Rattus norvegicus: one gene and its partner. The protein of the gene in region 1 interacts with the protein of each later gene in a biochemical or structural test. Links are inferred from orthologs where the notes say so. Each region holds a gene or a part of one and is shown on either strand. Other genes may lie near its edges.

Region 1 (3,907 bases):
AAGTACACTCGCGTCATATTTGTATTGAAAGTTCGTTTACGAAAGAGATAGTGAGTTAAGCACTGTAAATGGAATGCAGCAGGCTAGTAAGGTTTGAACCGTTGCTGTGTGTACAAGTTACACCAAGTGTTACTCCAAATCCCAGCAGAAAGTACCAAGGGCTGGCAGCACCGAGATAACCTCAGAAGAAGCCAGCCACTGTGTCTCTCTAGTGAGTGGATACAGTGAGATGATGGTCAGACTGTTAACTTTCTCCAAGTCTACAATAATTTAGGGTTGGCTGTTCTTTGGGCCCTACTTCCAACTTTTTCTTCCTAACCTACTCCTTCTAACTGCCAAGGAGTATCACTGCTAACACCACCACCATCAAATAATCCGATCTCATTATGGGGTTATACCCACTGACGTTTTGATGGAACTTAAAAAACACTGCAAAATTAAAACCAGCCAGCCTTTCTAGTTGGTTAAAAATCCGCATAAATTAATGTTCTTTTGTTGCAAACACTGGGCCTATTTCCCTCTCCTAGCCCGGGATCCTGCAGCCTAGCACCGAACTACACCCTGGAGCGGCTGCCCGGTTCCCCCTCCTCCTGGGAACAGCTCCACCTCGGGGGCGCTGGAAACGCCCTCCGTGAGTTCCCTGGCACCAGCGGGAGTTTCAAGTTTCCACGCGCGGGGCGGGGGCTGGCGGCGGGCGCACGGCGAGCTTCGGGCCGCGCGGCTCCGCTTCGTTCACTGCGGGCTTCGGACTCGGGCTGACCCGCGGCGTCCTCGTCCCTCGGGAAGGCTTCGGGAAGGCTTCGCGAAGGCCCCGCAGCGCGTCCCCCGGCTGAGGCCCACTCCACTCCGCCTGTGGCGCCAAGCCCCCGGGGGCGGCCGGGGGACACGCTCTCGCTGCGGCCGCGGTGTTGGCGCTCGAGTCCCGGCCTCGCCCCGCCACTGGCGGGCCGCGGGAGGAGGGGGCGCGGGGCGGCCCCGCCTTCCCCCCCGAGGAGGCGCCGGGCGGCCATATTGCCGAGCTGTCTGCGGCGGCTGCGGCGCGTCTTCTCTCAGGCGGCCCAGGGCTCGCACCGCCGACTCTCCGCTCGCTCGCCGCCAGCCGCGACGCCCCCGCCGAGCCCCGCCTCAGCCAGCCGGCGGCGGGCAAGGAAGGAGCCGCTCATTTTTGGGGTAAGCCCTGCTCGGCGCGCTCCCCGTCCCAGGCCCGGGTGCTGCTCTCCCCACCGAGGCGCTGAGGTGGCGGCCAGAAGTTGCCGGGCTGTGGCGCCGCGACCCGGGGCCTGGCGCGCCTCACAGACGGGCTCGCGCCTGGCCGCCCGAGAGGCGCCGCGATCGTTAACGGCTGAGCCATGCCACTCACCCGGAGTCTCCCGCAGCTCCGCGCCGCCCACCGTCGGCCTGGCCGCCCGGTGCGTCGGGCGGTGCGGGTTCCCGCCGCCTTGGACTGGGCCCCGGGCTCGGCCCGGCGCGCCCCCGGGGGCCGCGTGGAGCGTAGGTCGCATGCTCTCTCGCAACCCGGGGACGGGGGGCGGCAAGGCTAGAACTTCTCCCCCGGCCTCCTGTTTGAAAGTCGGGGTGTTGGATTACTAGAGAGCGTGCGGACACCCTAGCAGCGGAAAGGCCGTCGCGTTGCCCGGTCCCACCGTTCGAGCCCGCGAGGCCAGGCCCGAGCTCCCAGCCGTCTTTACCTGGGGCTGCAGTCGGCTGCCCGTGTCCTCCCGGTCCCCCGACTTGCCCGCTCCTCGGAGTCGCTGGCGCAGTGTTAGCAGACCCCCACCGGGAAACTAAGCATTTCTACCTTTCGGGGCTCCCAAACTCCCATCTCCCAGCTAAGTTAGAAAGGGAGCAGTACGTTATTTCAGTTGAAATAGCACGTCTGCACCTACACAGATGTTTCTGTAAACGTTGCCAGGATTCTGGGTGGTTTTGCCCCCCTCCCCAACCCCCCAGGAGTGGTTTTTCATTGGAAGTGTGTTTAGAGGTCAAGTTCATAATTTTTTTTTTAAAGTTCAGTTCAGATTTGTAAAAAGAGGAGTGAGAGAGATGCCTTGTTGGCTGTGTGGAGGCACCAAGATTTGCATGATGTAAATGTAAAAGCCCAAGATAACAAGGGTTCATGTGATGAAAGAGTACTTGGACACTGCAATCTATTGTTGACCAAGCATCTTTTTTTTTTTTTTATAGAATACTTATAAAACTGTGACGGAGCTCAGAATAAACAATTGCCCTGTTCATTTTGCTGCATAAATAATGGCTTAATCTGCTTGGCAAAACAGCCCCATCAGATCTGAAAAGAGAGCCTAATGTTTAGGACTGCGTTGTTGGTTTGTTTGTATCTTTAGAGTTTTGTCACTTGCACCAGGGTGTACCTTATCTTTCATAATAATTTCTTCAAATATGACAAAATGCAGACTCCTTTTCAAATTGTCAGTATGCTGTGAAAAGAACCACACTGGCTTTCTTTGCATAAATCCCTTTGAAAACTGTATTTTGGAACATAACTCCCGTTGTCACTAGGAAGTCTTTAGCTTGTCTACAGGAGAAGGAGTTTGATTGTGACACTTAGATGTGAAGCCCTTGCCTCTGTGGGTCCTACATACTGGTTTGCTCAAATGTAGCTTCATACAAGGAGAGAATGTAGGAGGAGCTCAGATGTTTGTAGGATAGATTTAATAGATTTTGCTGTGCGGAAAAACACATTAAATCTTAATTTTGTGGGAATTGTCGTTACCTGGGTGGAGATTACACAGCTTCATTTTTGTGCAGTGGTTAGGGACAACAGGTTTGCTTTCTGCCTCTCTTAGTAGCAGGCAGTAGTTGGGGTTTGGGGGTTGGGGGATGGGAGAAAAGTTCACCAACTGAGTTTTGTTCCTTGCTTCACCATTCCCAAGAGAAGAATTAATTATTAGCTAGTTTTTAATCTCTGGTGAGTGGTTGAAAGACTTAAAGATTTTTATTTTCAGTTTTTCAATCTCTTAATATAAAATTATGTACAGTCTGATATAGTAGGTTTTGAAATGTTGAGTGATGGTGAGAGTCCAGAATTTTCATTCATTTAAAACAACACATTTTAAGTTGAGCCATTTAAAAACGGGGTGGCAAATGTTAACTTTCTTTCCCCAAGGACCAGGGCTTTTAAAATCTTGTCCCATTGAGGTAGGGAAGGCTGAGCTGTGCAGAAGAGCATATCTGTGGGGCATAGGCAATAGTTTCCTGTTATTGGTACAGCCTGGGAGATTAAATCACTCTCTGGCTTGGGCCTCTCTCATTGCTGCAGTCTGGGAAGTAAGGAAATCACTCCTGGATGACTTGCACTGATGGGTACTACTTTACCCTGTTGATACCCTGAATAGGGAGCTGGATTAAGCTGCTGCCCCATAAGGTTATTTTAAGTTTCTAGACCATAGGTGTCACTAGAGGGTGTTCTGGGAAAGCCCTGACTTCAGACTCCAATAGGAAGCTCATCCAGTCTGTCCTCAGTTTTTCTGTTCTCTCTCATGTGTTTTACAGCTATCCAATCTGCCCTATATAATATACAAGTACTATATGCTTCTTAGTACTTATGGACGTATATTTTAAATCATTAAAAACACTATAAAAGGGCTGGAGAGATGGCTTAGAGGTTAAGAGCGCCGACTGCTCTTCCAGAGGTTCTGAGTTCAATTCCTAGCAACCACATGGTGGCTCACAACCATCTCTAATGGGATGCCCTCTTCTGGTGTGTCTGAAGACAGCTATAGTGTGTATGAATATGCATTAAATAAATAAATTTTAAAAACACTATAAAAATAATATACTCCATGGTAAAGTTATAACACCCAGAAAGATGTAAAGCCATAGAATAAAAAGCTCATCTTCATGCCCCAGAACTCTGCAGTCCTGTCCATGGCCCCATTTTTCATACAAT
Region 2 (3,907 bases), on another chromosome or scaffold:
ACATGGTGGCTCACAACCATCTGTAAAGAGATCCGATGCCCTCTTCTGGTGTATCTAAAGACAGCTACAGTGTACTTATATATAATAAATGAATAAATGAATCTTTAAAAAAATAAAATAAAATAAAAACGCTGCTTTGGAAGATTTGTGCTTGGAGCGTCAAACCAGGGAATTGTGGGTGGGACAGAGCTCAATAAAGCAGGCTCATCCAGTTGGAGTACCATGGGCCTCCTGAAAAGCTAGCCTAACACACTTGTGCACACCTGTGTGTAGGTTCAAGGCCAGCCAAATTCACCATATAGTAAGAGTGGAAATAATCAAGTGGTGAGGGCGTTTTGTTTTAAAATAGTTCGCCACCATAGGACAGCAGCCACCTGGAGGTGGGATAGCAGATCCATATTCCGTAGATATAAAAACACATGGACATTTGGTTTGCTTCAGATTGATGTGTGGCCAGAGGATACGTGCGTGCTTGTATAAAATAACCGGCCATGGGGTTGGGGATTTAGCTCAGTAGTAGAGCGCTTGCCTAGAAAGCACAAGGCCCTGGGTTCGGTCCCCAGCTCCGGAAAAAAAAAAAAAAAAAAAAAAAAAAAACGGCCATAACTAAAGATGGATGGTGAGGGCCATTTGATTCCTAATATCATCTTTTAAACTTCATGATTGGAGCCAACAGCTGTTTCTGAGATACTACCAGGGCGGGTGTGGCCAGCAGAGCAGGCCAGAAGTGATGGCTCTTGTGGGATTAAAATACAGAAATTTCTGCCTCCCCTCTGTCTGAGGTTACATTCGGGAGAAGCCACAATCGAGTGCCCTCATGGAGTAGCAGGAACTGAATCCTCAGGAGGAACTGAAGTGGCTGGCAAAAGCACACCACAGGAAGTCCCCCAGTCAGGCCCTCCATTAAAGAGGCCCTGGCCTTAAGGCTGTGAAATATGCCTGGTGGTGGTGATGAACACTTTTTTTTTTTTTTTTTGGTTCTTTTTTTTCGGAGCTGGGGACCGAACCCAGGGCCTTGCGCTTCCTAGGCAAGCGCTCTACCACTGAGCTAAATCCCCAACCCCAGTGATGAACACTTTTAATCCCAGCATTCTGAAGGCAGAGGCAGGCGGATCTCGGTTAGAGGTTAGCCTGGTCTACAGTGAGGTCCAAGATAGCCACACTGTTACAAAACAAAACAAAAATAACTTTCTCAAAATAGAAACTAAAAACAAACCAAATAACTCATAATATTCGGGGGTTCTGGAGGGCACATGGTTCCCAAAGCAATGCGCCAGGCGGCATAGGTACAAGGTACTGCTGCATCCGAGGACTGTGGTTCTGGTGATTCCCAGGACAATGGGACAAGAGCCAGGCACAACCATCAGGGAACCTTGGAAGCCCCAGAGTGACCGCGCGATCCTGCTCTGGAAGAGAAGACTCTCGTCTCACAGACACTCGTACTAGACATTCTACAGAAGCGCGAGGTCTCCCGCCCACGCGAGACGCGCCCACGAGGCCCGCAGCAAAATGGCGACGGCACCGACCCGCGCCCCCTGCCGGCGCATGCGCAAGGCGACCCCGCCCGCGAGAGCGGAAGTCTTGTGACCCCGGAAGTGACCGTCCGAGCGGCGGGCGGCGGACGACGTTCGTCATTTGGTGCGGGAGGGAGCGCGAGAGCGGTGGTCGAGCCTCCGGTGAGTGGGCGCGTGGCGCGGCACGGTGCGGCGCGGCGCGTGAGGGGAGTGGGTTGGCTTTGTGCGGCGACGCGGGCGACTGCGGCGCTCGCGGGCGGGGCGCGGTCATGGAGGCGGGCGGGGCGGGCCCGGGAGGCAGCATAGGTCCTGCCTGAGGGGCCGCCGCTGCCAGGGCCTGCGCGCCCGGTGCCAGTGAGACCCCCTCCCTCGGCCTCGCGGGCGGGGTCCGGCGCGGGGCCTTGCCCGGAGCTCCCGCCGCGCGGCCCCGCCCCGCTCGGATTGCGGGCCCTACGGAAGTGCGGGCCGCGCCCTGATGCTTTCGCCGGCGGCCACGCTTGGCGGCGTCGGGCGGGGTCGTCTGCAGCCTCTCGGTATCGGACCGCTGCTTTATGTGTTTCTTTGCCCGACACCTCTCAGAGGGACAACGGCCGGGCTGTCCCCCTGACCGCTGCGCGTCGCCTGCAGGCATTACAGTGGGTTTCTGAAAGACATTTGGGGATCTGCGGAACTGAACGGCATCTAGGCGCTTCCCGTCCGGGTTGGTTCTCCACCGCCACTGACGGTTTAGGGTCAAGGCCCAGAAACAGGTTCCTGAGATTTATCTGCAAGCGGTGTACCTGCTCCCAAGTTGCATACTCAGACCCTCACTAGGGGGAACAGACCTGCATATTTAGGATCTCCTTTGGGCTCTTGGGATTTAAGCGATCATCACATAGTTTAGCTTAGTACAGTATTCCATTGGCAGGAAGGAACAAACAGACCCTTGTCCTGCACGTGGCTAAGGTACAGAGCATCCCCCTGTAGGAGAACTTACCTCCGTGACCCAACCCAGTAAGATGAGAGCCTGGGCAGCTAGGGACAGCAGCAGGACCCCAGGGATTTAGCGTTGTGTCTGCCGGTTCAGTTTGTTGTGGAGGCGGCTTATTCTTCTTGGGGAGAAAAGATATTTTGCTTCTCTGAGGAACAGGCTGTGGTCCCATTTCGTTCCTTGGGGTGTAGCCCTCTCAAATGGACCTCTGGGTTCGGCAGTGACAGCAGCCTCCTCCTGTCTTCTCTCAAAAGTTCCCAGTGTCTTTCCCTGCAGGTGTCAGGGTCTGCCTAGGGTGGAATGCCTCCAGGCTGTCACAGTCCTGCTCATGCCCCACTCACAGGTGTCCCAAACTAGAGGTGAGCATGGCAGAACAGGAACCCACTGCTGAGCAGCTCGCTCAGATAGCTGCAGAGAATGAGGAAGACGAGCACTCTGTGAACTACAAGCCTCCAGCCCAGAAGAGCATCCAGGAGATCCAGGAACTGGACAAGGATGATGAAAGCCTTCGAAAGTACAAGGAGGCCCTGCTGGGCCGAGTAGCTGTCTCTGCAGGTAGGTGGGTTGAAGGAGGGATCCCACCTGACCCTGTTGCCACCTTCTTTCCATACCACTCTTCCAGGAAGTGAGCTGAAAAAAAAAATCTTAAGGATCAGAACTCTGACTCTTAACTCTCACTCTGCAGACCCCAATGTCCCCAACGTCATTGTGACCCGCTTGACCTTGGTGTGCAGCACTGCCCCAGGCCCTCTGGAACTGGACCTGACAGGTGAGTGGGTATTAGAGTCCCTGGGTGGGGCCAGCTGGCATCTTGCCACTACCCCTAAAAATAATTTTCTGCACTGATGCCCTCTGGTGGAGCAGAGGGGAAGTGCAGCTAAGGGCTTGCAAAGGCTCTGCTTTGTGTCAGGGAAGGAGCTAGGGAAAGTGGGTGTGGGGGCAGGGTGGAAAACCTTTCAAGCAACCAGCTGAGCCACCTCCTCAATACAGGTGATCTGGAGAGCTTCAAGAAACAGTCATTTGTGTTGAAGGAAGGTGTGGAGTACCGGATAAAAATCTCTTTCCGGGTAAGGAGAAGGCTTTGGGAAAGGGGGGCAGAGGAGCAAGAATGGGAAACCAGCTGACCCTGGTTCTGTGTCCCAACAGGTGAACAGAGAGATCGTGTCAGGCATGAAGTACATCCAGCACACATACAGGAAAGGGGTCAAAAGTGAGTGGGCGGGCCCATAGAGCGGGAAGCCAGTGGGCCTTGGAGGGACTTGTATCACCCGTAACTGTGCCTTTCCTGTCTCACAGTTGACAAGACTGACTACATGGTCGGGAGCTATGGGCCAAGGGCTGAGGAGTATGAGTTCCTGACACCCATGGAAGAGGCCCCCAAAGGCATGCTTGCTCGGGGCAGTTACAACATCAAGTCCCGCTT

The links.
Region 2: the proteins of Rdx (region 1) and Arhgdia form a complex in vitro, tested with the Homo sapiens proteins (2 studies listed by BioGRID and IntAct). The link is inferred for Rattus norvegicus from reciprocal best matches to the Homo sapiens genes RDX and ARHGDIA.

Annotation. Positions count from the first base shown.
Region 1 is NC_086026.1:61,274,771-61,278,677, forward strand, and holds the start of Rdx (radixin), read left to right. Parts: upstream 1-1,021; 5' UTR 1,022-1,170; intron 1,171-1,352; exon of another isoform or gene 1,353-1,491; intron 1,492-3,907. UniProt on the Homo sapiens protein: Probably plays a crucial role in the binding of the barbed end of actin filaments to the plasma membrane.
Region 2 is NC_086028.1:106,354,063-106,357,969, reverse strand, and holds the start of Arhgdia (rho GDP-dissociation inhibitor 1), read left to right. Parts: upstream 1-1,622; 5' UTR 1,623-1,676; intron 1,677-1,762; exon of another isoform or gene 1,763-2,214; intron 2,215-2,827; 5' UTR 2,828-2,849; coding exon 2,850-3,039; intron 3,040-3,169; coding exon 3,170-3,253; intron 3,254-3,474; coding exon 3,475-3,551; intron 3,552-3,630; coding exon 3,631-3,694; intron 3,695-3,780; coding exon 3,781-3,907. UniProt on the Homo sapiens protein: Controls Rho proteins homeostasis. Regulates the GDP/GTP exchange reaction of the Rho proteins by inhibiting the dissociation of GDP from them, and the subsequent binding of GTP to them.